Cricetulus griseus: one gene and its partners. The protein of the gene in region 2 interacts with the protein of the main gene of each other region in a pairwise test. Links are inferred from orthologs where the notes say so. Each region holds a gene or a part of one and is shown on either strand. Other genes may lie near its edges. The genes, in order: CCAAT/enhancer-binding protein gamma, Ddit3, Batf, CCAAT/enhancer-binding protein alpha, Fosl2, Hsd17b14 and Cebpe.

Region 1 (4,270 bases), on a different chromosome or scaffold from region 2:
CCAGGCATCATAACTTTTTTCCCATAAGTGTCTTTATGAAAGTGGTGCTGGAACCATGTCTCTCTGGTTCTCAGAGTAAGCTTCATGTGGGCTGAGACTGTGCGTTTGCCTTCTTCCTTGCTGACTTCCAGCTTAGTCCACACCTCAGCACATAGTTGGCACCAAACACGTCTGTACACAGGGAAAGTGCTACCAGCTATCTGGTGAGGAGGAAATCTCAAGACTCCTGGGCTTTTTTGTGACTGCTGGGTGTGGAAGGCTTGTCTAGACAACAACACAGAAAACAGAGCGGCTGGCAAACCAGAGGCTAACTCAACAATATGCGTATGTGATACGCAAGGCTGCTTTTATTTTCCGTAGTTTTATATGATTACAAAAAAAAAATCATGATTTTGTGAGGGACAAAGCACAGTCCAACTTTGATAGCCTTGAAGAAAATCTGGCTCATAACACAGAGGTCCGAACCTGAAGAGACATAACTGGTCTTGATTGCCTTCTCAGTTTCCCAAGCGTGCACAGGGTTATCAGGGTTCACTCTCTGCGGTTGCTCTTTTCTCCCCCCTTTTTGAAGTTATTCTCATCTCCCAGGGATTCCTCGAAACAGTCTTACGTGGAGACCTGCTCTCCTGGCCTTGGCAATGAAGAAACATTTCCCCTTTGCAAGCCAGCGAGTTCTGAATGATAAGCATTGCTAAAGAGGAAGCAATCAAACCCTATCAGGCTGGGCTCTGCCCTCCACCCAGCGCGCTGCTTCCTGTTTTTCAAAAGTGCTTTTTCTGCTCCTGCTGTGAACCGTTTGGGAGAACCAGGGCCGCTCTTCACTTTCAGAGACCGTGCCATGCATGCTGCCCATCACCTGTCCTCACGGAGGCGAGCCCGCTTGGGAAATCACGGCTTGCCCGCAGTCCTCGAGGGTGTCGAGCGTGCTAACCCTTAACTCTTGCAGCTGTCAAAATAATAATAATAATAATAATCATAAAGTTTGCACAAGCCTCAGCGCCCTAAGGCCTTAACACAAAACTCAAGCCACTCAGAAATCCACCCCAGGAAGCGTCGCTTCCCAAAGGCAGGCGGCCGAGGGCCTCGCAAGGTGACAACTCAGAACTTTGATTCTCCAGGGGTCACTCCCGCCGCCGCCCGCCCATGGCAGCAGCAGCAGCCAGCCAGCCAAAGGGGCGAGCAACCGCGGAGCCCGCCTGCAGCCACCGCCGGTGCCGCCACGCCCACCAGCCCCGCCACGCCCCGCCCCTCGAGGCCACGCGGCCTCTGGTTGGCTGGCGGCGCTGCCCGTCATGAGGGGCGGGCGCGTCCCTCGCAGACCGGGGCTCCTATTGGCCGCGGCGGCGGCGGCAGCGGCGGCGTAGCGGCGGCGGCGGCGGCGGCGCGCGGAGCGACGACGACGACGACGACGACGAGGAGGGCGGGGGAAAGCCGGCGGCGGCGGCGGCGGCGGCGGCGCGGCGGCGGCGGCCGGCGGAACGGGCGGAGGCTGCCGGTTTCGTAACCGTCGCTCCTCCTCGGCGAACTCGCGGGCTGCGGGGCCTGGGTCGGGTCGGGCCGCGGCGCGCGGGGCCGCTCGGAGGAGTGGAGGTCGCCTGGGGGCGGCGGGCCGGCCGGAGGCGCAGGTAAGGAGGGGTCGGGGGAGGAGGAGGAGAGGAGGCCGCGGCCGAGCCCCGCCGCTCGCGTAGGTGCCGGCCCGGGCCCGACGCGACCCGGCCCGGCCCGAATCGGCAGGTTGGCCCGGAAGGCCCCTTCGCCGGCGGCCGGCGGCTGGCGGCGCGGGCGCGGGCGGGGGCCCCGAGCGGCGTCTGATGCAACCTGCGGGCAACACCCGGCGGGGTTGAGCTCATCCCTGGCCGCGGCCAGGCCCGGCCCGGCCCGGGCGCCCCCTCCGCCGCGGGCGGGGACGGGATGGAGGACCGGGCGGCCCCCGGGGGTGATGGAGGGTGCCCTGGAGGAGGAGGACGGGGAGGAGGAGGGGGACCCTCCAGTGCTCGTTTGGAGCCACCTAGCACCCCGTGCTGTCTGTCGCTCGGTCGGGGTGGCGGGGAGAGGTGGGGAAGGCCCCCGGTCCCCTTTGGAGCTGTTACCCTGGTGACGGCTCACCCAGGGGAAGCGCCCCGTGCACGTTCAGACACACAGGGTTGCAAGAGACGGGCATTGTTTGGTCTGGGTTCTGAGGACATGCGGTTCAGCCGCGACGGGGACCGGGAGGGCGACCCGGATCGCGCACCCACCGCCACCACCACCGCCACCGGTTCCCCGCCAAGCAGCAGGTCCGGCTGCAGGGAACGCGGGGGAAAATGAGCCCGCCGAGGTCCCCAGGTCGGGCGAGCATGTGTGACGGGGTGGATGGATGGTGTCTTTGCAAGGGTGAGCGTGTGTGTGCGTGTGTGTTTGCAAGGGTGAGCGTGTGTGTGTGTGTGTGTGTGTGTGTGTGTGTGTCTTTGCAAGGATGAGCGTGTGTGTGTGTGTGTGTGTGTGTGTGTTTGCAAGGGTGACTGTGAGCGTGTGTGTGTGTGTGTGTGTGTGTGTGTCTTTGCAAGGATGAGCGTGTGTGTGTGTGTTTGTGTGTTTGCAAGGGTGAGTGTGAGCGTGTGTGTGTGTGTGTGTGTGTGTGTGTGTGTTTGCAAGGGTGAGCGTGTGCGTGTGTGCGCGTGTGTGTGTGTCTTTGCAAGGGTGAGCGTGTGTGTGTGTGTGTGTGTGTGTGTGTGTGGTTTTGCAAGGGTGACTGTGAGCGTGTGTGTGTGTGTGTGTGTGTGTGTGTGTGTGTGTGTTTGCAAGGGTGACTGTGAGCGTGTGTGTGTGTGTGTGTGTGGGTGTGTGTTGCAGGGTGAGCGTGTTGCGTGTTTGTGTGTGTGTTGTGTGTGTGTCTTTGCAAGGAGTGTGTGGTGTGTGTGTGTGTGTTTGCAAGGGTGAGTGTGAGCGTGTGTGTGTGTGTGTGTGTGTGTGTGTGTGTGTGTGTCTTTGCAAGGATGAGTGTGTGTGTGTGTTTGCAAGGGTGAGTGTGAGCGTGTGTGTGTGTGTGTGTGTGTGTGTGTGTGTGTGTGTGTGTGTGGTCTCAGGAAGGTTGGCGTGTTTAGTTTTGCTCCTGTGTGAGGGCTTTGTTTTTTTGTTTGTTTGGTTTATTTTATTTTATTTTTTATATATTGTAAGCCTCATCGTTAAGATGTGTCAATTTTAGAAAGGTTTTAACCTTTGGGGTTGCACAACAGCTGGGGGTGGTGTCTCCCGAGTTTCCACCCCCTTTGAATCCTTTACTCGAATAGAACACCATCCAATGCAGACCTGAGGAACATTTCACATGAAGCTTTCTTTACTGAGGAATGCTACACAGGAGAATGCATTGCGGGGTGGGTAGGCAAGCCCCTCTGCTTCTGAGCCACACCCCAAGCCTTCAGAGAGCTCTGAGGTCTTCTGCTGTTTGATAAGCAGCCCCTAGGGTTATTTCCCTGTTTCTGAAAAACTGTCAATAATTACAGGATGCTAACTGAGCTGAAGAAAAAAAAAATTGAGCCTGTTTCCTGCCTCTGGTGGACCTGCTTGGCTGACTCAGTTATTTTTGTTACCTAGGAGAAACAAATAGGTGGGAACAGACGCCACCCCTCCCCCAGCGTCTTTAAAGTCTCACAAGCACGTCATGATTGTCAGCCAGGCTCTGTGATCTTGGAGAGGTGCCTCCATCCCTGGCGCATTAAATGATCCCCAGGAAAGCCCCTGGGAACCTTCCCTCCTGAGGTCATGGGAAAGAGACAGAGCACCCGGTCAGGTCGAAAGTTGCCTCACTCAGTCACAGTAATGACTAGTAAGTTTATTGGTTCCCTGCCTATCCCTTTGCTCTCCCCTGCTGTCAAAGGGGATGGAGGAGAAGAAAACAAAACAAAACAACAACAAAAAACATACCTCACCAAAACCTGAACAGGAACTCCTAATAAATGTATATTCCTAAACATTTTTGTTTTGAATGTGCTAGAAAAGGTTTAAAGGGTAACATTCAAAGAAACATGGCGTTTTCTTCACATCCTCCAGTGGAGTGTCCTCTCCTCCGTGGGTCTTGCCTCCAACAGTCTCCATGGAGACACAGAAGCTGAAGTTCCAAAGACACTGGGGGAGTGGACTGGACAGAAAGCACAAAGGGAAGAAAACAGACATTCGGGAGCACTTGGTAGTGGCCTTGAGTTAGCATCAGGGAGCAGGGACTGTAGAGGCTGGGGGCCTGTAGTTTGGAGCCATAGACATGGGTTTCCAGTAGCAAGATGGAACACAATTA
Region 2 (4,048 bases):
CATGCACGTCCCAGTCCTTACTGTAGGTCATGACCCCAGACTCCTACAGGCCCGCTGCTCAGCAGGGAGTCACAGGACTTGCGGTCAGGGAGAAGAGAAAGGGTGGGCGCCGAGCAGGGGTGCGATAAGTAGGGGGTGGGACTCGGGTGCACGCTACAAAGAACAGGAATTCTGGCGTGCAGTGGGCGACTCAGAAACAAACGCCAAAGGTGCTCCCCCGAGACAAGCGGGTGGACTACCATGGAAATGCCAGGACCTCAGCCTCTGGGAAGCGTTAGGAGGTTAAAAGAGATGAGATCCCTTCTAAAGGGCTGGAGAAGATGTCAGTCCAGGTAGGACTAATGGAAACTTTATCGCGGTTCCAGGGCCTCGGCGCGCATGAGCTGGGAGGGGCCGGGAAGCTGGGAGTCTGGATGGAGGAGCAAGTTGGAGGTGATGGGAGGTGGGTGGGCAGAGCCGCAGCTCCTGGGCAGACAAGTTCAGGAAGGACAGCCGTTGGGGCCGTTGGATACTGGGAGCTGGCGCTCCGCCCTCTTCCCTCTCACCCCCCCACCCGCGCCTCCCACCACCGTCGGCGGCCCCTGCGCGTGCGCGCGCGCAGACACCGGTTGCCAAACATTGCATCATCCCCGCCCCCCGTCATCCCTCCCTCGCCGCACTCTCCTTCGCCCGCCCGCGCGCGCGCGCGCGCGCGCGCGTGCATGACTCACTCACCTCCTCCGCGGAGCCTCGTGACCCAAAGCCACTTCCGGGTCCGAGACAACGTAGCTCTCCAACCAGAGGGCGGGGCGGAGGCGGGGCCGAGGGGGCTCCTGAGTGGCGGATGTGAGGGGTGGGGCGGAGTCAGTGCCAGCGTGCCGCTTTCTGATTGGCAGGCTCCTGGGTCCCGCCCCCAAAAGAGGGGACGGGCCCGCATAAAATATCTTCTCTCGGCGCTGCAGAGGTCAGTAGCCTGAGTCTCACACTTCGGTCATATCATGTTGAAGATGAACGGGTGGCAGCGACAGAGCCAAAATAAAAGCCGGGACCTGAGGAGCGAGGCGAGTACCGACGCCGTCTACCCCTTCTTTCCCCATTCTCGCCAGCATGGCTAGTCCATAAAGTTGGGGGCGACTGCTCTGGAGGATGTAGCCCCACCCCTTCCAAAGTGGCCCTGTAGTCGGAGGGAGGGATGGAGGCGGGAGTCCCTGACCCTGGAGTGGCGCTCACATGACCCCTCTTCCTACGGGCGATTGCATCACCGTTCCCCTGCCTAGTTAGACTGTGCCGTTAGGCAGAGGGACTCTGGTTGTCCCCGGGAGATCCATCCTCCTCCTCTGTACGGCGAACTGCGGGCCATCCTAGGCCTGTCCGGTGAAAGGCGGGGCAGCAGGACACACCCCCATATAAAGGACTCTGGCTTTTCCCCCTCTTATCCAACAGCTTCGTTATCCCCGGCTCTCCCAAGCTCCTCGGGGGCCAGCATGGCCACCTTAGTCGCTGACCCTAAAGTTCAAGAGAATCGTAAGACTGACAGACCTTTGCTAGCGGGGTGCTGGTGGGAGGAGCACAGATGGGTTTTCCCCTTTTCCCCGGAGGCTTCTGTACAAGAGAGCAGCCTGGATCTGTAACCGTGGGACATTATTTGGGCTCTCTCCAGGGTCTTGTGCTGCTCCTAGGATTGAGTTCTGTCTCTTTCCCCAGTCCACTCCTCACTAATCTCTGTAACCATTGCGTCAGGCCGGCCCACTGTTTATCTCTGCGCCCTCTGGCCTGGGGCTCCACTGCTGATGAAAGCCAGGCCCCACACACTGGAAAACCGAGGGAGTTTCCCCCAGAGGACAGCCCTGCAGAGAAACACTCAGGGCAATATTGCATCTCCAGTCCCCAGAGATAGGCAGCACCGGCTCTGCCTCTGGGCTTAGCCCTCCATTCTCTGTAGGGGAAATTGGGGGAGTGGCTTTTTCCCTATTCATTCCTAACAAATGCTTAATAAACATCAACTATGTGCCAAGCATTTGAGAACCCAGAGTATATGAGGAGCAAAAGATAAAACTGATCTCAATTCGGCCTGGGCCTGTATTTCTGCAGAAAGCAAGAGCTGACAAATAAGAGTGCTCAGGATTGTGGGTGTTAGGAATTGCCTCACTGGGGTTTTTAGTGAAAGATCCAGAGAAGGCAAGCCTGTGAGCCATGCAGATAGAGTAAACGAGCTTTCCAGAAGGAACTGTGGGAGCAGAAGGGTTAAGATAAAGCATGTCTGGTAAAATAGGGCAGTGGCTGGATGGGAGTGAATATGAGAGAGGGTGGGGTAAACAGGAAGCCACTGGAGGGATCTGGGTAGAGGAATGAAATAAGGCCCAGTGTCATGGCATATGTATTTGATTCCAACACTCAGGCAGGGGCAGGCAAATCTCTGAGTTCAGGAGCCAGGACTACATAGTGAGACCTTGACTCAAATGAATACAAAAATAAAAGGATGGGAATGTAGCTCAATGGTAGACTGCTTGCCTAGCTTATAGAGGACCTATGGTCAACCCCCAACTATGAAACTAAACTAATAAAAGACAGGAATAGAAATGGTAGATCTTGATAGAGCATGGTGACATACACCTTAATCCCAGCACTCAGGAAGCAGAGGTAATAAAATCTGTGTGTATTTGAGGCCAATTTGGTCTACATAATGAGTTCCAGGACTGCCATGGCTACATCGTGAGACTCTGTCTAGAAAAAAAGAAATGGGAGATTTCTTGAATGAGTCTTCCACAGTAATCTTCGGGAAGTGAGGTAAATTGATTTCCATTTGGAAATAATGGGAACAGAAATACTTAGGCTTGCTGGATGGCAGTAACCCACACCTTTAATCCCAGCACTTGGAAGGCAGAGGCAGGTGGATCTCTGTGAGTTCAAGACCAGCCTGGTCTATAGAGCAAGTTCTAGGACCTTGTCTTGAAAAAAAAAGAAAGAAAATACTCAGGCTTTAGGTACTTAAAAAGAATGTATTAAAGCTGCCTGTGCTGCTTTATACTGAGTTGTGGGGATGTGAGAGGAGGAAGCAAGGATACCTTTTTTTTTTTTTTTTTTTTTTTTTTGATTTAAGCAAGTAGAGTTGCCACTTAGAATAATACAACCTAGGAAAGGAAAGGCCAGCAGGAGATTGTTGTAAATGCCTGATAGACATTCAAAAGGTGATATAGCAAGTAGACAACAGAGTTGGAGGTCCCAGGACAGGTCTAGACCAGAAGCGGCCAATATGATATTGGAGTATATGTAGCAAGTGCCACCCACATATTTTTCTCTTCCCTGTAGTGCAGCCCTCACTCTGGCAGATTTGAGGTCTATCTGGAATTTAGAGAAAGCTTAGTTGGCTAGGATGTTGCTATTATGTAATCAGGACAAATGTCAGTAACTAAAAATAAAATCAAGCTTGCCTCTGTCCTTGGAATTGGCGCACGTGTGTGTGTGTGTGTGTGTGTGTGTGTGTGTGTGTGTGTGTGTGTGTGTGTATGTGAGAGAGAGAGAGAGAGAGAGAGAGAGAGAGAGAGAGAGAGAGAGAGAGAGAGAGAATCAGCCTGGTCTACAGAACTAGTTTTAGGATAGCCAGAGTTACACAGAGAAACTCTGTGAAGGGGCGAGAGGGGAATAGAGAAGGACCAAAGGATAAAAGGCTAGAGGTAAAGACCCTGTTTCTTTCCCTTCAGACAGTAAACATGTATCTCTGTTCTCCACAGTGTTCCAGAAGGAAGAGTATCTTCATACATCACCATACCTGAAAGCAGGTAAACTTCACCAACCCCTTCTCAAAGTTAACTCCCAATGCTGCTTAGGGTCACTTTGCTGGGACAGTAGTTAGAGAGAATTTGATTTCAACAAGCTTTTGCTGTCAGACTGTGTCTTTCTCTGACACCATAACATTATTTTTAGAGCACTTCCCAAATGAAAGCTGGCTCTCACAGCCAGCCTCAACAGTGGCAATTGGCTTGTCTTTCCGATTCAGTCCACACCAAGGTTAGACAAACCCCAAGGACCTTTTGCCCAAGCTTCCCACACAAGAGAAAGGAACACAAAT
Region 3 (4,123 bases), on a different chromosome or scaffold from region 2:
ATTTGGCTTTGAGCCACACTGGGAACATAGCAAGACATTTTATTTTCATGTGTATAAATGTTTTGCCTGCACGTGTGTGTGTGTGTGTGTGTGTGTGTGTGTGTGTGTGTGTGTATGTGTGTGTGTGTGTGTACCCTGTGCATTTCCTAGTACATGAGGAGGCCAGAAGAGGGAGTTGGAGGCCCCAAAACTGAAGCTACAGATGGTTGTGAGCCCCCACGTGGGTGCTGGGAATAGAAAAACACAAGTCCTCTGGGAGAGCAGCCAGTGCTATTGACTGCTGAGCCATCTCTCTTCCCCAAACCTGTTTTAGATCACCAAAGATGAGAATGGGATTCTTCAGGAAAACTACAAACATGCTTTGTCATGGCACATATGACAAGCATGAGCATCTCCATAGCATGCTTTACAGGGTATGGGGGCATTACAATTCAAATTGTTCCTCACTCATTGCAGTAACCCTGAGAGGTAGGCAGGGCAGGTTTTAGGTGGGGGTGGAGGTAGGTTTTCATCACTGTTGATCTGAATACAAGTCCAGAACTTCCCTCACCCATTTTGACATTCACTCCTTGCTGGGTTCTGACCTGGTGACTGACTCCTAAAGATTCAAGGTCAATCTTGAACTCCTGAAGGTCAACCTCTCCACCGAAGGCATCCCTTTTCTTGGGAGAATGTCAGAGCCCTGCTGAGAGGCACAGGTGATGGTAAACTCCACAAGCCCCCTTCCTCTGTTCCTAGCAGTATGCCTCAACTCTGCCACACTTATGCTCCCACCGTGAAACTTTCTAGGAAGCAAGGGACAGGGTGTACACGGTATACATTCCAGAGCCTCTCTGTGACTCTCAGAGAGTCCCAACTTCTTGTTTGGCAGTCTGTAAAAGACAGTGCCCTCCTTCTCCTTTGTCCCCAGAACACCCGCACTGTCCTGTGGGTGACTGAGGAAGGCTCAACCCAAAACAGGGTGGGCAGCTGCTTTCGGGTGAAACCCAGAAAGAGGTCCCGGTCTTGTTGCTTTATTTGTGTTTAAAACTCAAGTCGTGTGCCGGTGGAAACTCTCTCCCGCTGTTCCCCGCTCTCTGCCATGTTGACAGAAGAGGACTTGCTAATTCTGGCTGGGGATTTTCCCTGCCTGGCTGTTTTTCTCTTTTATCTCCATCAATTGAAGAGAGCTTGCTCTGCCTTTCAAACTGCCGGAAGAAACTGGGGTTTTGTGTATTTTTTTTCTTTCACCTAATTCTGTGGTCTTTTCCCAGATATGTATTTTCTCTCGAACTACCTTCTAACTTGTTGACGTTTCCGCCCATGTGACTTCCAGCTTGAATTACCAGAAACCACAAGAGAGAGCGTGTGCGCAAGCCCCAAAGTAAGCGAGATGTCCCTTTGGGGAGCAGTCCCTCTGCACCCCAGAGACAGGAGGACACAGGGGGCCGTCGGAGGTGGCTGCCGGGCAAGCAAGGGAGACACCCGTGGAAGGTGGCGGGCCGGTGGCCCCCTAGCAGTCAGGAAGAGGAGCCAGCTAGTGAGAAGATCGCCCAGGGGCATCTGGGCGGTTGTGGGAGAGTCCGGAAGATTACAGCCATGCCGCACAGCTCCGACAGCAGCGACTCCAGCTTCAGCCGCTCTCCTCCCCCTGGCAAGCAGGTACCCCTACATCCCCTGCCTTCTAAATACCCTGGGGTGGTGGAAGAGGGCCACACTCCCCAGTTCTGCCTGGGGAGCTTTTGGGGGGGGGAGGAAGTAGCTCTCTACTTGGCGGGGTGCTCTCTAGCAGAGTCTGGATGTGGTATTTGCTATTCGGAGGTACAAGTGGCAAAGCCTTCATCCCGCCACAAGCCCCCTTCCTCTGTTCCTAGCAGTGTGCCTCATCTCGGCCACACTTAGGTTCCCACTGTGAAACTTTCTAGGAAGAAAGGGTCAGGGTGAATATCACAGAACTTAGAGGAAGGGTTCATACCGCTAGCAGAGGAATCTGTCAGTAGGCTGCTGGCGGACTCCACCCAAATCCTAGATCTGTAGCTTTCCAGGAAGAGCCAAGGGGCCAGACAGAACCGAGGTTAGGGAAGAGAAATACAGTAAGCCAAAGCAAGGTAGGGAGGAAGGAAAGGATAACTAATCTACCGGCCCAGGGACGGCCTCTGTGACTACAACAGTCAGTGGGGAGGGAGGCTGAAGTCACAGCCAGCGTCTTTCCCTGAGGCTTCCAGAGAGGAGAAAGAAGGCAGTGGCTCTGGAGGTTTGTTGGAGACCTGAACTAGAAGCTAACATCATCTTTGGGAAGCCGGGGACGGAGGGAAGGATTCTGGGAGTCTTAGAGCCTTGATTGCCAAACCTAGATGCTTCAGCGCAGGAGAGATGCCTCAGATGGGATGCCCTTCCCACCTTGAAATTTCTGGAGCTCTCTCTACCACATTCTTGACACCCTTGCTCTAGAAAACTCTCTTCCTCATCCAGCATAGACCCACTGGATTAAGCTTTTCTACATCTCAGTAACTTAAAAACTTCATCCTCTCCTTAGCACACATATAGGGCAGGGCATATCGCTCAAGGGCAGAGTGCTTTCCTTACACATATCCCAGGGGCTTGCAAAATGCTGCAGCCAAAATAGAAATATGCAGCCACCCCTTACCACATCTGTCATAGGCCATCATCTGCTATTACACCTACTGTAAGCTCCTAACCAAAAAGCCGTACCGGTGAAGACCTCTACAGGAAAATAGTCAGTCCCTTGGTCACAATGGTATTGGAGTGGCTCAGACTGTGTGGAAGATGGTACCATACTCTTCTTAAGAAGGAAATTACTCAGAGTTCCATGGTAAACTCGTCCCCTGCAGCATTATGAGAAGGGTGCTTCCTTGCTCTATTTCACCAAATGTCTGCCTGCTAGAATGATCTGGAAGTTTTGGATAAAGAGGGAAGAGGGTCAGAGCCTGGCCCCAGGATTTGTGACCTCTCTGACAAGGTAGGAGTTGCTGAAGGGCTTCTCTTAGTGTCTTCACTGACCTGCAAAGCTAGAATGAACCTCCCTGATCTTCTTTAGGACTTACTTACATCCAAAGCATGCTTTGTCTTCCAAAGTCCACATTAGTAGCTCTCTAAAGCAGGTGGCTTCCACCTCAACTCATAGACTTATTTATGGCCCCTCATTGTAGCAGGCATCAAAGGTCTGGACTAGAAAGGTCTCAAGATGGCTGCACAATAAAGGGGATGAAGGAAAGAGAGATCTGGGGTGGGGCCCTCTGCCTAAGGGTGCAGCACAAGAAAATTGCTGGTGGAGAGGGGATTCAGGCTTTAGAATCAGCACCAGGAGATGTCATATCCATGGATGGCCATGAGCTCAAGGACCAGCGTGGCAAGCCTCAGCTTCATCCTGCGTAAAATAGATATGACTGTACCTGCTCAGAGAGCTGGGGGATTGTAGCATAGTATCTCTGAAAGCACTTGTACAGACATTGGCACATAATGGATGCTCAACAAAGTTTTCAAGAAAAAAAGAAAACAGCAAAAGGAACACCAAGAAGGCAGGCGCACACACACACACACACACACACACACACCCCAGATAGAGAATGTGGGGGTAGAATAGCTCTGGAGAGAGCAGAGGTGATGGGACAGATATCATTGTCTTATCTGAGGCTTCCCAAAGCAGCCCTCCTGAAGCCTTGATGTAGCTATTTCTTCATGTAGCTTTTGATGAAAAGAAGGCCATGGGCAACCTGAGGGCCGGTAGCAGGGAATGCTGAAGGAAATGTCTTTGGGTGCAGGCTTTTTGTAAATAAGAGTATGGTTGGTACAGAAGGAACTGAGGACCAGGAAGGAACGAAGGAACGAAGGAAGGAAGGAAGGAGTCAGTTAAACGATAGAACCCATTTTGACTGGAAGAAAGGGATGGACCTACCTAGTTCTTGCTTTCACTGCTTGTTAGGACTCATCCGACGATGTAAGAAAAGTTCAGAGGAGGGAGAAGAACCGCATTGCTGCCCAGAAGAGTCGACAGAGGCAGACACAGAAAGCCGACACCCTGCACTTGGTGAGTACCCAGACTTCTTATGGTGCTCTTGTGCCTTAGGCTCTTCACCCCACGTCAGTGGGGCTGTGAGAGCCAGCTGTGATGGTTCTGCTGTGG
Region 4 (4,123 bases), on a different chromosome or scaffold from region 2:
GCTTGAGACCTCAGACACAGAAAATGCCATTTCAAATGGAACCCAGAACACACCTTACAAGTGGCTCCTTTCTGGTTTTAAAAAGACACCAAAGTTGAGTTTGATATGTTTATATTATAGATATAATACATACGACATCTAGCATGAAACTTTGTGTGTGCCCCCTCCCCCCAAAGAAGAGAAGGTAGCAGTCCACCCCTGCTCCCAGCCACAGGGGTGTGCACGAATTGGCTGGAGGTGACCTTCTTTCCAGACCCAGAGCCAGGGCCTGAGGGTGGGGGCGGGGGAGGATGCCTGTGTATACAGTAGTCTCAGCTGGAAGAAGCTAAGACCCACAACGACACCCTGGGAAAACTGGAGGGAGGGTGGTGGTCCTCCGGGAGCAAAAGAAAAAAAAAAAATCCCCAAACCAAAAAGGAAAGAGGGCCCGAGCTTCTTCCCCCAGCCGCTAGCGAAGAGTCTCATTTTGGCAAGAATCTGAGCAAAACCAAAACAAAACAAAAGGACCAAATAAAATGGTGGTTTAGCATAGACGTGGACATTGACATTGCACAAGGCACCGCTGGGACACAGAGACCAGATACAAGTGTTGATATCGGATGATAAAGCAAAATATTTGGGAAGCTTGTCATAACTCCAGTCCCTCTGGGATGGATCGATTGTGCTTCAAGTTCCTTCAGCAACAGCGGCTGGCGACATACAGTACACACAAGGCTGATGGTCCCGGTGTCCTTTCATCCCCTCTCCCCCCAAGACCAGAAACTTAGGTTCCCGTCTCCCACTACTCCCTTAATCACATGGCTAACTTACAGCCTAGCTTTCTGGTCTAGCTGGGGGTGGCGCCCCCCATTCTCCACGAACTCACCCAGGAAACTTAGCCTGTTGCAAGCTGAGGTGCGGAGTAAAGGTGGAGGTGGGAAAAGTAAGAACCGTGCACCTCCAAATGGATGAGGGGGAGGGGTGCGGGAGGGGTACTCTTACAGACTCAAATCCCCAACTCCCTAAGTCCCTCCCCTCTAAGGACAGGGACGGAGGGGCAGCAGCGGAGCGCTGCCTGCCGGGATCTCAGCTTCCTGAATCTTCTTTCTCCTGCCCTGGGCCTGCACCCTTCATGCTCTCATGGGGGGGGGCCTGCCGCAGCCTCGGAGAAGGCAGGGATCCTCCAAATAAAATATCAAGGCACATGTGTGCTCCCCCTACTCGGTAGGAAAAGGAGCGAGTTCTGAGTATCCAAGGCACAGGGTGACTTCCTTACTTAATACTAGAACGGCCGGGCGGGCTCCCGGCTCAGCTCCGCGGACAAGTCTCCCGGGCTCCAGGAGAAAAACTGCGGCCTGACTCCCTCATCTTAGACGCACCGAGTCCCGGCTCAGAGGAAGGGAGGGGACACGCGGAGTAGGCCAAGCTCTCAGACGACAACACCGCCATCTCCTAGTCCTGGCTTTCACGGGCCCGGGGCAGCCTGGAGATGCAGCGACCCGAACTCATTCTCCGGGTCCCCGGCCAGGGGTGGGGTGGGGTGGCCGGCCCAAAGGCGGTGGGGTCCCGCAGCCGCGCGCCTCACGCGCAGTTGCCCATGGCCTTGACCAGGGAGCTCTCGGGCAGCTGGCGGAAGATGCCCCGCAGCGTGTCCAGTTCCCGGCTCAGCTGCTCCACCCGCTTGCGCAGGCGGTCATTGTCACTGGTCAGCTCCAGCACCTTCTGCTGCGTCTCCACGTTGCGCTGCTTGGCTTTGTCGCGGCTCTTGCGCACCGCGATGTTGTTGCGTTCCCGCCGCACCCGGTACTCGTTGCTGTTCTTGTCCACCGACTTCTTGGCCTTGCCCGCGCCTGCGCCGCCGGCGCCCCCGGCGCCCCCGGGGCGGAGGTCGGGGTGCGCGCCAGCCAAACCCTTGAGCGCACCCCCGGGGGCGGGCAGGCCCGCAGCCCCCAAAGCGGGCGCGGGGTGCGGGCTGGGCACGGGCGTGGGCGGCGGCGTGGGGTGGCCGGGCTGCAGGTGCATGGTGGTCTGGCCGCAGTGCGCGATCTGGAACTGCAGGTGCGGGGCGGCCAGGTGCGCGGGAGACGCGTGCGGGTGCACCGGCGGCGGCGGCGGCGGCGGCTGGTAGGGGAAGAGGCCGGCCAGCGCCAGCTGCTTGGCCTCGTCCTCCTCGCGGGGCTCCTGCTTGATCACCAGCGGCCGCAGCGCCGGCGCCCCGACGCGCTCGTACAGGGGCTCCAGCCTGCCGTCCAGGTAGCCGGCCGCCGTGCAGCCGTAGCCCGGAGGGGGCCCGTGCGCCCCCGCGGACATGACCGCGCCGCCGGGGCCCGTCGGGGCGCCCGGGTAGTCAAAGTCACCGCCGCCGCCGCCGCCGCCACCCGCGGGGCCCGCGGCCGCCTTGGCCTTCTCCTGCTGCCGGCTGTGCTGGAAGAGATCGGCCAGGAACTCGTCGTTGAAGGCGGCCGGGTCGATGTAAGCGCTGATGTCTATGGACGTCTCGTGCTCGCAGATGCCGCCCAGCGGCTCCGGGGCAGCAGGTAGGGCTGGGGGAGGCGCGGGGCCCGCGCCCCGGGGGAAGCCGAAGGCGGCGCTGCTACTGCTGCTGCTGCTGCTGCTGGTGGGCGCGTGCGGGGGACTCTGGAGGTGGCTGCTCATCGGGGGCCGCGGCTCCGCCTCGTAGAAGTCGGCCGGCTCCATGGAGGAGTTAGAGTTCTCCCGGCATGGCGAGCCTCACGGCGGCCTCCAGCCTGCGCGTGGCGCCGCTGCCTCCGCCGCCGCTCGCCCGCTCACCGCCGCCCGCTCGCCGCCCGCCCCGCCGGAGCCCCCGACTCGCTCGCGCGCCCCGCGCAGCTCCGGGTCGCGAATGGTCAGGCCCGCGCGCGATCCGCTCTTATAGGGGGATCGGACGTCGCCCCCTGGTGTCCAAGAGGGTCCCGGGCCCAGGGCGAGGGCAGCAGGGCGCCTGCTGGGTCTTAGAGCCCGCTGTCTGTCTCTCGCTCGCCCTCTGTGTTTCTCCCAGGCGGCGAGCGGGGCGGGAGCACCGTGCAGGGGGAGAGGCGGTGGCGCAACGCCCACTGCCTCCTGCGCTGCGAGGCAGCCCGGCCTGCGCTCGGCCCCACCCTGGCGGCGCTGTCGCCCCCGCACACACGTGGTCCGCGGCTGGGCGCCCCTCCTGCAAGCCTGCCCAAGTCACCCGCTTCCAGCCAACACCGGGGAGCCCGGGAGCATCCAGAGGCCGAGCAGGGAGGGGTAGGGGTAGGGGGTGGAGAGGGAATATTCGTCTTGAGCTACCGGGGTGCAGACTGGTCTTAAAGGCTAGGACTAGGCCTGTCCCCCCCCCCCCCCCAGCCAGGGACCTAGCTGCTTTGTGACTTGCTTTGGAGCGGCGACCTGGCGCGCGCCGCAGAGTGGCAGGGGCCGGAGCGCTGAGATTGTGTGTGTCTCTCTCTCTCCACTCCAGGCGACCCCGCTGATTATTCCAGGCGGGGCGCCTCTTCCCCGCCCAGCCAGCCTCCCTACCCCGGGGTCCCGCGGGATCCGCCGAGCAGGGCGCTAGGACCCAGCAGGGAGCGAAGGCGGCCGCTAACCCGGGAGTCCCGAGGACCTGGCCGGTCCATCCGCTCCGGCTGGAAAACTTTCTTTTTAATTACGTCTCCCGGCCAGAGCGCCGGGGTTGCTAGGCTTCCAAGGCGGGCGCTGCTGCCTGGTGTGGAGCCTCTAGCCGAGCGCTTGGGACCTCGGGACCGGCGGGTGGGTCCTCCGAGACTCGGGGAACAGGACACCAGGGCAAGCGCGCGGGGGCGGGGAGAGGGCAGGGTGTGGGAGAGAGAGGGAGGGAGAGAGAAAGACAGAGACAGAGAGGAGGTGAGCGGGATCCCCAAGCGGGATCCTTAGTCAGGAGCCTAAAGCCACAGGTTTCTTTCCCTCCTGTCATTCGGGTGGGCGCCAATCTCCGTCGCCTGAGTGTCCAGTCCCTGGCTACGGAGTCTGAGCACCCCCTGGGAGTACCCTGTCGGGTCCCGGGGATCCTCGGGGCCGCGCCGCCTGCAGGCTCGCAGCTTGGGTAGGAGTTTGCCTGCATAGTCTCCCCAGCCACGTGGCGTTGGCGACGGGCTCATTCTCCACCTGGATCGCGGCCGTGGAG
Region 5 (3,500 bases), on a different chromosome or scaffold from region 2:
TCAGGGGAGTCCAGGGGCTGTAAAGAAACCTCAACCCAGGACTGCCACAAGACCCACAGGCTTTCTTGGTTACCAACTTTGTAAGGCTTGGACCAAGACAGGTTTGGGAGCAGGTCTTAGCTGAGTGGCCTGTGACCTCCGGTGGGGTCATCTAGATGGAATGGATTTACTCATTTGATGCTTTTTTTTGGCCACTCAGGACATCACAGCCATGGACTGCCAGGGTGGGAGGGAGCTTCCTGGGGTCCTGACCTGAGCCCAGCCCAGCTAGCACAAATGACTTGTTCCTCATGGTGTGGTCTGTAGTTAGGGATATTTCTCTCTCTGGAGCAACTTCAGCTTTTCCATGGTGTCATACTTAGACTCTTTGAAGCCCCTAGCAGAGCATAGGCACACAGTAGGCATGCACCCCTGTCTGGTCTGAACGGGAAGGTCTTCCCTTTATCCTGTGTTGTGCTTTGGCCCATGGCGTTCTCTTTGGCAGTGTGTGTGAACAGAATTCCTTGTCCCTGACTGGTTCACCAGAAGGAGCTAGTTCCTGATCTCTCCTGGGGGTGTGTGTGTGGGTGGTGTCCTTGAGTTCACAGCCCCAACTCCTGGGATTATGTCTCATATAGATGATCACCATCAATCAAATAAGCAGAAAGGCTGGACAGTGGGACTTTTATGCCTAGGCTGCTTTTTCTCTTGCCCAGCCTAGCACTGTGGCAGGCTTCCAAGGAGTCCTCGTGGAGACCTCTGAGAAGCTGGTACTCTGGTTGGCAGAGGAAGTTGGGAATACAGTGGTACCCATGGCCCTCCCACTGGTGACAATACATCAGCACCCCTCCCACCCCATGGGTGGATCTCACTTATGTGGAGACTCTACATAACCAAAGGTGGTGGTGAGGCTCATAGAGCGTGATGGGAGGGTAATTAGCTAGGCTTTGGAGGAAGCTGCTACAGCAGGTGAGGCCAGACCTGGCTTGCTGGCAGGGCTCTTCTCTGCCTAAGGCTTTCAAACAGAGCTGACAGACAAATCCTGCCCTGGTGCAGAGCCATTGAGCTCCTTTCCCACTCTTGGTCTGCTGTCCCCTTAAACATGCAACGTCACCTTGTCACATTCCAAAGCAGAGCCGTCTACAAGCTCCCTCCAGGCAACCACAAGGTACTGACCTCATGCCCTGGGGACCTCTGAGCCTGGCAACACATCTCTTTCCCTCCTCAATTCTAAAGGACAGCTTGTAGTCCTTAAAATACAGCTTTTTAAAATGTCATGAACCATTGCAGCATTCCGATCATGACTCTTGACCTTGGCCTCTTTGGCCTCTTTAGCTGTCTCCTGAAGAAGAGGAGAAGCGTCGAATCCGGAGGGAGAGGAACAAACTGGCTGCAGCCAAGTGTCGGAACCGTCGCCGTGAGCTGACAGAGAAGCTGCAGGCGGTAAGGAGCTGTGTGTGGTGTGGCCCTCCCAGTACTATCATTACAAGTGATGAGTCTGGAGAGACAGAAAATTCTTTTGAGCACATGGGTCAACATTATGCTCAACTGGGAGTGGGAAGAATGGATAAATGAATGTATAAGAATCAGCCAGGCAGTGGCAGTGTACACCTTTAATCCCAGCACTTGGGAGGCAGAGGCAGGCAGAGCTCTGTGAGTTTGAAGCCAGCCTGGTCTACGAAGCCAGTTCCAGGACAGGCTCCAACGCTACACAGAGAAACCCTGTCTCAAAAAACAAACAAACAAAACAAGAACCAGCCATTGCCATCGTGTAGGCCTAGAGAGGAGCAGACCACCTTTCTGGGCAGTATGTTTTCTCACTCAGTACCTAAGTGTGCTCTGTCGTCAGACCCCTGGGGCTCCTGGATGAGGGCTGATAGTTCCAGGGAGCTAGGGCAGGCACAGCAATACCTGCCTCTCCATGGCTCCTTTTCAGGGTTCCAGTTGCCCCCATTCCCAAGGTTAGCAAAGGTGGCCCAGCCTGACCGAAGCACCCTGATTTGAGTGGGGTGGGAGCAAGCACTCTCATGTAGACAGGTCACATGTCAGTTGAGTTACATTTTCTTGGAACTTTCGTCTATCCTTCATTGGCAGGAAGGTTTCCCACCTCTATGGTGAGCTGAGAGCTTTGTTGTGAGTCACTGTCCCATGCTTCTTAATTGCCCAGACCTGGAGGAGGGGGCACATGGTCCTGCCCCTCCCTCTTCTGAGCTTGACCTGACCAATGTCACGTAACTCCCTTCTGTGTCTGGCCCTGAAGGAAGGGCTGAGCGTCTGGTAGAGGAGGTCCCAAGCCTGGGACACAGTGCTCTCAGAAGGAGGAGATGAGCCGAGAGATTGTCCAAAGTCCTCACGTAGTGACTGACGAGTAGATCTAGAATTTATTTAATCTTTCCAGGGAGTTTATCTGCTTTCAGCTGTTTCCTTCATGCCTCAGCCCTAACTTTTGGGCACACTCACTAAAATATATACTTGGTGAATCCCATGGTGCCTGTACTCATGGCCTGAGGAGGTGTCAGAGTGGGGATGAGGGTAGAAGTTCTTCCTTCCCAGATGAGGCAGACCAGGGAGTGATCAGCCCACCATGGAGGCTCCCTCAGCGGAGACTTCCACTGCTAGCCATTCTCTCCTACTTCAAGGAGCTATGCCTTACCATGACTCCCTGAGGACATCCCTCAGCCCGGAACAGCCACTCCTCTGAGTCCTCCCTGCTTTCCTCTCTTCTTCCCAGAAGTCTCACACCCTACTTCTCCGCCTCCCCCACGTCCTGAGCTACCCAGGCCCCTGAGCCACATCCTCACAGGAAGCCTCTGACGTTCGTCAGACCCTTGAGACAGATGGAAACTTTTTTTTTTTTTTTCACGCCGGCATATACCATAGTGTGCTTAATGAAGCTCTTGCCCGTATCTCTTCATTTGTGAATGGGAATCTGTGTTAGAGAAAAAGTGGGGAGGAGACTGGTGACGCATGCCTCTCTTTTCCCCAGCCATTCCAATCCACAGACTGCTCTGGCTCTGTGTGAAGGAGGGGAGTGGAGGCTTCCCTGGTGAGCTTGGCATCCTCATAGGCTCTTATGGGCTGTCAGGTGCCCCTCTATTGGGCACAGTGGAACTAAATGTGTCCCTTGCTGTCTCTGGTCTAGGCATGTGGGCTTTAGAAACCAGAATAAGAAAGGGAGGATCCATCAGTGATCAGCTGAGCATTTATCACAAGCCAGGCACTTTTCGGTCCAGTGCTTAGGGTAGGAGTTTATGCGTGGGAGTCTGCTCTCATTCAGCATCCAGCTCAGCATCTGTGTCCCCTGGCGGGCTGAAATGGTAGAGTGAGCAGAGTTTCCCCTTCTCTATGAGTATCCCACTCTAACCTGTTGGGGGACCCAATGGTGGTACTGGCATCATGGGGGTGGAGTGTAGCAGCATACAGACTCCAGTCAGATGCATTGGAATTCAAATCTGGCCTCTCCGTTAGCTCTGTAACTTTGGGCAGATGGGCAAACTTCTCAGAACCTTGGTTTCCTCATC
Region 6 (4,295 bases), on a different chromosome or scaffold from region 2:
ATGCGCTCTCTCTATGGCGACAGGCCATGGCGGTCAGCCATTACCCTGTTCTTCTTCTCTTAGTCTCCCCATTCTGCCGGGCCTTATAATAAACTTATAGTCAATATGTCTCATGTCTAAGCATTTCTCTTCTCTTCTTTTTAAACAAAAGAATAACACTATTGACAACCAAACTGGTGACCTAAGTAAAGAAACAGACAGAGTCTCTCAAATAAACTTGGCCTGGCCAATATGGCTAAGATGGTTCTCCCCCTTCACTGGCCCTGTAATATTACTTCTACTTTTTATCTCTTTTTTTTTTTTTTGGCTTTTTGTTTGTTTTTTCGATTTTGGGGTGGAGGGAGGTTTTTGAGACAGGGTTTCTCTGTGCTTTGGAGCCTTTCTTGTCTTGTAGACCAGGCTGGCCTTGAACTCACAGAGATCCACCTACCTCTGCTTCCCGAGTGCTGGGATTAAAGGTGTGCACCACCAACGCCCAACTTCTACTTGTTATACTTGTTATCATAATCTGGCCCTGTGCCCTCCAGTGTGTCACTAACTTGATCACTTGTCAGATAAACAATGTTAGAATCACTGCTGCTTGAGAATATTATTAAGACAACCCCCATCATGGACTTGACAGGGAAACACAAGTCAAGGGGGAACGAGGAACCGGTCTGACTCCATTATGCAGTTTTTTAAAAAAATAAGTTTCTGCAGGGCAAGAAAGCCTGTCTGGAAAATCCAAAAAGAATAAAAAATAAATAAGTTTCTATTTACTGTGAGAGTTGAGCTGCTCTCTGTTTTTTGGAATCTGACCTTGATTTGTTTTTGAGAATACCCTGGCTCTCCTTGACCCCTCCCTGACACCTCCCTAATCACATGATGGGTGACCTCATGACTTTTTAAGTTTTTTTTTTTTTTGTATTTTCTTATTGTCCCATTCTCTCCCTTCTGTAAAACTACTTGTGATTTTACTTCTTAAAAGAGGTCCAAGAGGTGGATTCGGGGCTGCTCTCTTTAACCTGATTTAGCAGGCAGTCACTGGCCAGCTCTTGAGTGAATCCCAATAAAAACAAGGCAGACAAGCTTGCTCCAAATTTGGATCAAATTGTGGTAGTGATTAACAGTATGAGGAAGTTGGGAGCCAGATATATTGTGTCTGGGGAAGGAGGCTGGAGAGCCTGTTTTTCTAGGTCAGAGGAAGAGGTGCTGATCTTATGGGTCTCAGGAACAGGGTTAGAGTCAACGTGATGGGGGCGGGCTGGGGCCAGGACCCTGAGTCTGAAGGAGGAGTGTCAGGGTGGGGACCCCAGCGTTTGAGAAAGAGAAGCTAGGACTCAACCTCCAGGTCTGAGGCAGGTTCGCAGGTGTGTGGCCCTCCCGGGAACACCCCTCCAGGGCCAGCCTACAAGGACCCAGCCTGTCTGGTTCCATCCCACTGCTTTCCTGGACTTTGGAGGTCGAAAGAGGCCGGGAGGGCGAGGGCGTGGGAGACAAGACAAGTCACCTGGGAATGGCAGCTGTAAACCGATACTCCGGGAAAGTGGTGGTGGTGACCGGGGGTGGTCGAGGCATTGGGGCTGGGATCGTCAGAGCCTTCGGTGAGTCAGGGTCTTCCTGCCCGATGTCTGAATGTGGGAAAGGGTGGGGTGGGGTGACAGATTCACGGAGTGGGAGGGAGAGACCTGGTTTCACTCTTTTTAAAATGATTTATTCATTCCTTAGTGATTTGTCTATTCTTATTTTTTTTTCTGTGCATTGTTTTGCGTTTGTGTGAGGGTGTTGGATCGCCTGGAACTGGAGTTACAGTTGTGAGCGTGTGGGTGCTGGGAATTGAACCCGAGTCCTCTGGAAGAGCAGCCAGTGCTCTTCGCCACTTAGCCATCTCTGCGGCCCTCAGTCTCATTCTTACATGAGGCGGTTTGGACTGTTGGGTAAGCTGGTGTAGTGATGGCTTCTGCTGGTGCCGATAAGACTTTTATGAAGAGTTCTTTGCCTGGCCAGGAGGCAGAGGCAGGTGGATCTTTGAGTTGGAGGCCCGCCTGGTCTACACAGAGAGTTCCCGGACAGGCAGGGCTGCACAGAGAAACCCTCTCGAAAAGCCAAAAAGAGTTCTTCCCTTGATGGGTCCCTAGCTACAAACGATAGCTTTGAGGAATGTTAGGTTTGGGATTTTTCTGGAACCTAGGATGGCGGTGGAGCAGAGGAAGGGAAATTCTGCCCTTTGAGAGGCCTGTCCCGAGGCAGTCACGAGAGCTGCCGAGAGCCAGGTGCTCTCCGTGTCACAAGAGGCAGCAGAGGCTCGCCCCGAGTCTGCAGGGTCCATAACTCACTCTCTCTCTCTCTCTCTCTCTCTCTCTCTCTCTCTCTCTCTCTCTCTCTCTCTCTCTCTCTCTCTCTCTCTCTCTCTCCTCTCTCTGTTGGCAGTGGACAGTGGGGCTCAAGTTGTTTTCTGCGACAAGGATGGTAAGTCAGTCCTCAACTATGCCTTCCTTCCGTCATCGCAGGGATCCAAGGCCAGCCCTGCTCCCTCAGACCCCAGACTCAGGAGTCCAAGCTCCTCCCCAGACTCTGATCCAAGCCTCAGCTCCCTCCCTCAGACCCGAGTCTTTCTCTTGCAGAGGTGAGGGGCCGGGCTCTGGAGCAGGAACTCTTGGGCACTGTCTTCGTCCCCTGTGATGTGACTCAGGAAGGAGATTTGCAGGTGGGCGTTCCCAGTGCACTCCCCCTTCTCCGTGCCCTGGGTCAGCTCAGTGAGCACAGTCCATCTGCCCCTTCTCGCTCCATTCTTTAGATCAAGCAGAACTTGAAATCCACACCCTCTGTTGTCATTTCTGATTCCCCTGCGCTCAGAATCAGTTCTGTGTCCCCAGGTCTGTCCCCAGTCTGTGCCCTGTCTCTGTGTCCCTGCCTCTGCCTGTCTGCTCCCCGCCCCCTCTGGATCTATCGTCGCTTCTTCCCGGACTCAGTCTTCTGCCCTCGCATTCATCTTCTATGGCGGTGCTGGTCACTTGACACAAGCTAGAGTCACTTGGGAAGAGGGGACTCAACAGAGAATATGGCCCCACCAAACGGGCTGTGGTGCATTTTCTTAATTAGTAGTTGATGTGGGAGGGCCCAGCCCCCAGCCCCCAGCCCCCTGGGGGTTGTGACATCACATAGCGGCAGAAAGGGGGCTGAACAAGCCACAGGGAGCAAGCCATGAGCAGTGTTCCTCCATGGTCTCTGCTTCAGTTCCTGTGCTGACTCCCCTCAGTGATGGCGTGTAACCTGAGAGTTGTAAGCAGAAATAAACCCTTTCCTCGCCAGATTGCTTTCGCTCCTGGTGTTGGGTCACAGCCATAAACCCTAACTATGACAAATAGCAACGTGGGTGCTTAGGTCTCTGGTCTGGGCCCCCAGCTTCCTGCCTTCTCTCCTCTTTCTAGACCTGCGCTGTGACCCTGAGCCTCTCCTCCCTCCCCCTACCTTGTCTTCCACAACTGAGCCTGTCCTTGCTTTGGCTTTTCCAAGGCTGCCACCTCACTGCTCATCACCTGCTGTTTGTTCTCTCCTCAGGCTCTGATTTCTGAGACCCTCTCTCGATTTGGCCACCTGGATTGTGTGGTGAATAATGCTGGCTACCGTAAGTTGTGTGGCTTGGGGCCTAGTGTCCCCTGATGTCAACTTACAACCTATTCCCTATTCCTTCCCCTTAGAGATGATTACATTTATCTGCACACCGGCATACAGTACTTGTGTGGTGTTCAGAGTACAACTGGAGGGGATTAGCTTTCTCCTTGTACCATGTGGGGTTGCGCTCAGGTTCTCAGGCTTGGTGGCAAGTGCCTTTACATTTGAGGCATCTCAACCCTTCCTCTGAACCTCAGTTTACTCCCTTCTCAGGCCACAGCCTTCGTGGTGTGTGTGTGTGTGTGTGTGTGTGTGTGTGTGTGTGTGCACGTGCACGTGCACGTGCACGTATTTTTATTTGCATGTATGTCTGTTCACCACTTACATATTTGGTGCCCACAGAGGCCAGAAGAAGCAGTTGGATCCCCTGGAACTGGAGTTACAGACAGTTGTGAGCTGCCATGTGGGTGCTGGGAATTGAACCTGGGTCCTCTGGAAGAGCAGCCTGAGCGTGCTCATAACTGCAGTCATCTCTCCATCCTCCCCCATCCTAATACATAGCTCTAGCCTGAGCTTCTTTCCTAGGCTATGTGCTCCCCATCTCCGTGACTCAGTTTCCATCTTTGAAATAAGAATTATCACAGCTGCAGGGTGGTGGTGGCACATGCCTTTAGTCCAGCACTAGGGAGGCAGAGTGGATC
Region 7 (4,031 bases), on a different chromosome or scaffold from region 2:
GTTCATCTTCTCCAGTGTTAGGGAGCCAGGGCCTAGGGGATGAGAAATAAAGATAGGAGTGGAGATGTGGAACAAGAGAAGAGAGACAGAGAGCTGGGTCAAGAGCTAAGGGACCACAAATATGGCAGAGTCATTAGAAAGTCACCTGGGAAAAGAGCTTCCAGGCCTTAAAGCAAGAAAGCGGGCCTAGGGTCAGTGGGCCTGGCACTGGTGCTGTGCAGTGTTGGGATCACCCTGAACCCCAGAATTCTTCAAGACAAGACAGTCTGCAGAGGCTGCTGCAGGCCCTGGCATGAGCAGTGGTGACACCAAGCAAGCTCGGCTGGAGAGAGTTGTGGGCAGCAATTACTAGGTTTATTTACTAGGTGTTCATGTGTACACGGATACAAGAACATGTGAACCTAGCCACATGTATTCCCTGCCCTCGGGGTCTTCCATGCGTGTATATGCACAGCCCTCCCACCAGGCCCAGGCCCGAGACCCAGTGAACAGCTCCAGCATCAAGTCACACTGCAGTTTATTCAGCAACAGAATCTTTATGGTCCCGACCTTCCCAGCTACTGGCTGCCATTGTCCATGATCCCTATTTTAGGCATCGTCTGTTCAGGACTCTGGGGACCGAGGAGGGTAGGAGTCCTTAGGGTCTGGTGTCCATAGTCTGCCAAGCAGGCTCAACTGCAGCCCCCTACACCCTTGATAAGGCTGGCAGCTTCAGGGATCTGGCGGAAGAGGTTGCGAAGGGTGTCTAGCTCCTGGGTGAGCTGCTCCACACGGCTGCGCAGGCGTTCGTTTTCAGCCATGTACTCCAGCACCTTCTGCTGTGTCTCCATAATGCGCCTCTTGGCCTTGTCCCGGCTCTTGCGTACTGCAATGTTGTTGCGTTCGCGTCGCAGCCGGTACTCCAGGCTATCTTTGTTCACTGCCTTCTTGCCCTTGTGTGAGGGCCCAGCTGGGGAAGGTGCCTTGAGTAGGGGGCTGCAGGGAGGGGCAGCAGCAGCCACAGGGGCCTGGAGGGCAAGTCAGAGGGACAGAGAAGTGAGGGTCCATCAGCAGGCAAAATAGGGGCTGAGCAGGAATCCCAGCAGCAAGGGCACACTTGGGGCTTCCAAGGAATAGAGGGCTCCCAGGCCGCTCCCATCTCCCAGTCATTGCCCTTTCTCTGTGAAAGACGGGAACCCAGATGCACTTGGTATTTGGTTTGAGATCAAAGCTGTCTTTCATGCTCTCATTTTCTCTTAGGACACTTTCCTTTGGTTTGTCTGTTTTAAGTCTCCTGTTCTACAATTCTACAATCAGCAGTATTTCCTCTTCCAGAAGCACACAGCCGAGAAGCAAGAGAAGGGGTATATGGACCGCAGATTAGGGCAGAGCAGCTACCACAAGGTCTTCAGGACACAGTGGAGCTCGGAATTCACGGAGTGGGGAAGCGAGGCCGTGGAGTGGGCCGTTTTCACAGAGGAGCACCAAACATAGACTTGTTGGGTAAGCCCCATGTCAGAGTTCCCTCATCCAACCAACCATCTTGCTCCAACCCGGGGAGGAACCAAGGGAGAGCTGTCTTGGTCTTACCTTGAGGACGCGTAGAGGCTGGCCAGGTGCTGCCAGGGTCGGGGGAAGGTGCACTGCTGTCTGCCCACAGTGTGCCACTTGGTACTGCAGGGGATTGTAGCCGCCTCGGCTGGTACCTCGGCTGCCCTCTGGCCCACGGGGCTCCTCCTTCACGGCCACAGCCCTGGGGTCGTAGCTCCCTGGGTTACCGTAAATGCCAGGCCCCAAAGCCTTCCTATCTGGGCCAAACGTATGTGAGGGATAAGCAAATGGCCGAGGGTCAGCCGGCAGGTAGTGGGGGAACGAAGGGGTTCCTGGGCCCTTAAGGTTTCGGGCTTCAGGTGCTGGCTTCATGGCAAAGAGGTCAGAAAGTAGCTGCTCTTCCCCAGACTCGATGTAGGCAGATAGGTCGATGGAGGCCTCATGCTCACACATGTCCCCCAGCTCCCCGGGCCCAGCTCGACCCCCTGAGAACTCGAGTGGCTGCTGGCCACCCCGAGGCTCACACTCATAGTAGGTCCCGTGGGACATAGCCGTCCCGCCCCTTTGGCTCCCCGCCCCTGGGTCCTGTGCTGGGGCACTCCTTGGGATGAACGCTCAGCCTGCCCTCTCTTGATCTCCCCCGGCCCTAGAGTTGCCCTAGGTCTGACCTCTCTGGTCTTTTCTGTCCCCCACTCCTACGTGGCTTCTCTCCTCCTCCTCTGCTTCCTTTTCCTTCTGTAGTCAGAGCCTCTCCTTTCTTCCCTTTTCCCCTCTCTCCTTGGTGTGAGTCAGGGAGGGGCAGGGCACACCCCAGAGGGAGGGGTGCTTAGCAGTTAGGGCGCTCTTTGGTGAGGCCCCAGCCACAGTCCAGAAGTTGCTGTTTGGGAAAATGTCCCCTCTTGTCCTATTAGGTTAAGGGATTCCAACCCCTTGTCCAGGGTAGCTCCTCTGAGTGTCTGTCTTCCTCCAGCTTCCAGAAAGATCTGTGCAGAGTAGGGCACCAAGCCAGAGCCAGTAGAGAAAGCACTCCTCCAGTGCCAACTTGGTCTAAACTCCTCCCTTGAGCCATCTTCCTCCCTGTCCCCCCAAGTCCTGAACTCCACCTCCCCGGGGGGTAAGTCAGTTCCTTGTATAGCCCCACCTCCCACAGCATTCTCCCCAGTGTAGGCATCATTGTTTGAGGGTTTTGGGAAGTAGTAATAGATTCTAGGACCAAGCCTCCCCTGGCCCTAGCACAGGGCACACTCATTTGCTAGTTTTGAGACAGGGTCTCACTATGTAGTTCAGGCTGGCCTTGAACTCGCAGAGGTCTGCCCGCCTTTGCCTCCAGAGTGCAGCTTTATTAAGGGTCTTTGGCTTGGTCTTTGTACAGGGCTTGTTCACATGCTTCCCATCCTGGCTACCTCTAGCAGCCTGCCACAGTTTGCCTGGACATAGCTGAGGTTTCTGGTCAAGACATGGGCCCTGAACCTCACAGGCTGCTGCCCCAGAACAGACAGACAAGATCCATGGAGGCCCCAGTTGCTCCACCTTCACTGAAAGAGGCTCAGGCTGACCCCACCCCACACTGGCTAGAGGCTCTGCCTCCTACTTCCTGTGCTCTGGTGTGCATGCAGGCTCTGGAGCTCACTGTAGCTTCGTTTGCTGTCTTTCCTTCTGCATGACTGTTTTCTGACCTCTAGTGTGTCCACTTCCTCTTGTAAGCTTGAGAAGTCTTCTCTCTTGTCCTCACCTCTTCTTGGGGATGTCTCTGCGACCATAGGAGAAGCCTGTAGTTGCCTGACTGTTCTTCATTGTCCACTAATCCCCAAATTTCACTTTTCTTTTCCTTTTGGGAATGCCCTGCTCCCTAGTCAGAGGTATCTGTTGTGGTTCTGGTTTTCTAGAGCCCTTCAAGCAGGGCTCCAGGTTTAGTGGCAAGAAAACACGTAGAAATGAGAAATGTGTTTCCTTCCTTCCTTTCTCTCTTTTTTTCCTTTCTTTCTCCCCCCCCCTTTTTTTTGAGACAGGGTTTCTCTGTGTAGCCCTGGCTATCCTGGAACTTGCTCTGTAGACCAGGCTGGCCTCAAACTCAGAGATCCACCTGTCTCTGCCTCCCGAGTGCTGGGATTAAAGGTGTGTGCCCCCACTGCCTGACTCCTTTTTATTTGTTTAGGCTGAGGCTCCCTGTTTGCCTAGGCTGGCCTTGAACTCTCAGTCTTCCTGCTTCAGCCTCCCTAGAGCTGAGTTGACAGGTGTGACATCATACCTTCTTGTCTCTTTTATTACTAACATGTTCTGGGGAGAGGGACAGATTCTTTTTTCCTTTTCTTTTTCTTTTCTTTTTTTTCCAAGACAGGGTTTCTCTGTAGGTTTGGAGACTGTCCTGGAAATCACAGGACACATTTCTTTTTTAAATGTCTTTATTTTTTAAATTGTAGGGGTGTGTGTGCACGCACGTGTGTGCGTGTGCATGTGGGTATGTGCACACTTCGAGGTTTCCAGAAGATATCAGAAAGATA

The links.
Region 1: the proteins of Ddit3 (region 2) and CCAAT/enhancer-binding protein gamma interact in binary tests that used the Homo sapiens proteins (3 or more experiments, as listed by UniProt). The link is inferred for Cricetulus griseus from reciprocal best matches to the Homo sapiens genes DDIT3 and CEBPG.
Region 3: the proteins of Ddit3 (region 2) and Batf interact in binary tests that used the Homo sapiens proteins (3 or more experiments, as listed by UniProt). The link is inferred for Cricetulus griseus from reciprocal best matches to the Homo sapiens genes DDIT3 and BATF.
Region 4: the proteins of Ddit3 (region 2) and CCAAT/enhancer-binding protein alpha interact in binary tests that used the Homo sapiens proteins (3 or more experiments, as listed by UniProt). The link is inferred for Cricetulus griseus from reciprocal best matches to the Homo sapiens genes DDIT3 and CEBPA.
Region 5: the proteins of Ddit3 (region 2) and Fosl2 interact in binary tests that used the Homo sapiens proteins (3 or more experiments, as listed by UniProt). The two-hybrid records come from large-scale screens. The link is inferred for Cricetulus griseus from reciprocal best matches to the Homo sapiens genes DDIT3 and FOSL2.
Region 6: the proteins of Ddit3 (region 2) and Hsd17b14 interact in binary tests that used the Homo sapiens proteins (3 or more experiments, as listed by UniProt). The two-hybrid records come from large-scale screens. The link is inferred for Cricetulus griseus from reciprocal best matches to the Homo sapiens genes DDIT3 and HSD17B14.
Region 7: the proteins of Ddit3 (region 2) and Cebpe interact in binary tests that used the Homo sapiens proteins (3 or more experiments, as listed by UniProt). The link is inferred for Cricetulus griseus from reciprocal best matches to the Homo sapiens genes DDIT3 and CEBPE.

Annotation. Positions count from the first base shown.
Region 1 is NC_048602.1:3,438,890-3,443,159, forward strand, and holds the start of CCAAT/enhancer-binding protein gamma, read left to right. Parts: upstream 1-1,470; 5' UTR 1,471-1,625; intron 1,626-3,573; exon of another isoform or gene 3,574-3,805; intron 3,806-4,270. UniProt on the Homo sapiens protein: Transcription factor that binds to the promoter and the enhancer regions of target genes. Binds to the enhancer element PRE-I (positive regulatory element-I) of the IL-4 gene. Binds to the promoter and the enhancer of the immunoglobulin heavy chain.
Region 2 is NW_023276806.1:130,434,180-130,438,227, reverse strand, and holds the start of Ddit3 (DNA damage-inducible transcript 3 protein), read left to right. Parts: upstream 1-1,248; 5' UTR 1,249-1,463; coding exon 1,464-1,503; intron 1,504-3,710; coding exon 3,711-3,758; intron 3,759-4,048. UniProt on the Homo sapiens protein: Multifunctional transcription factor in endoplasmic reticulum (ER) stress response. Plays an essential role in the response to a wide variety of cell stresses and induces cell cycle arrest and apoptosis in response to ER stress.
Region 3 is NC_048598.1:118,099,470-118,103,592, reverse strand, and holds the start of Batf (basic leucine zipper transcriptional factor ATF-like), read left to right. Parts: upstream 1-1,323; 5' UTR 1,324-1,578; coding exon 1,579-1,641; intron 1,642-3,922; coding exon 3,923-4,027; intron 4,028-4,123. UniProt on the Homo sapiens protein: AP-1 family transcription factor that controls the differentiation of lineage-specific cells in the immune system: specifically mediates the differentiation of T-helper 17 cells (Th17), follicular T-helper cells (TfH), CD8(+) dendritic cells and class-switch recombination (CSR) in B-cells.
Region 4 is NC_048602.1:3,363,748-3,367,870, forward strand, and holds CCAAT/enhancer-binding protein alpha, read right to left. Parts: upstream 2,801-4,123; 5' UTR 2,677-2,800; coding exon 1,561-2,676; 3' UTR 95-1,560; downstream 1-94. UniProt on the Homo sapiens protein: Transcription factor that coordinates proliferation arrest and the differentiation of myeloid progenitors, adipocytes, hepatocytes, and cells of the lung and the placenta.
Region 5 is NC_048600.1:12,321,797-12,325,296, reverse strand, and holds part of Fosl2 (fos-related antigen 2), read left to right. Parts: intron 1-1,314; coding exon 1,315-1,422; intron 1,423-3,500.
Region 6 is NC_048599.1:154,464,429-154,468,723, forward strand, and holds the start of Hsd17b14 (17-beta-hydroxysteroid dehydrogenase 14), read left to right. Parts: upstream 1-1,495; coding exon 1,496-1,583; intron 1,584-2,409; coding exon 2,410-2,448; intron 2,449-2,603; coding exon 2,604-2,686; intron 2,687-3,540; coding exon 3,541-3,607; intron 3,608-4,295. UniProt on the Homo sapiens protein: Catalyzes the NAD(+)-dependent oxidation of L-fucose, yielding L-fucono-1,5-lactone, which rapidly converts spontaneously to L-fucone-1,4-lactone. Can also act on D-arabinose and L-galactose, with lower catalytic efficiency. Does not use NADPH.
Region 7 is NW_023276807.1:209,925,861-209,929,891, forward strand, and holds Cebpe (CCAAT/enhancer-binding protein epsilon), read right to left. Parts: upstream 2,630-4,031; 5' UTR 2,080-2,629; coding exon 1,570-2,079; intron 1,008-1,569; coding exon 672-1,007; 3' UTR 501-671; downstream 1-500. UniProt on the Homo sapiens protein: Transcriptional activator. C/EBP are DNA-binding proteins that recognize two different motifs: the CCAAT homology common to many promoters and the enhanced core homology common to many enhancers.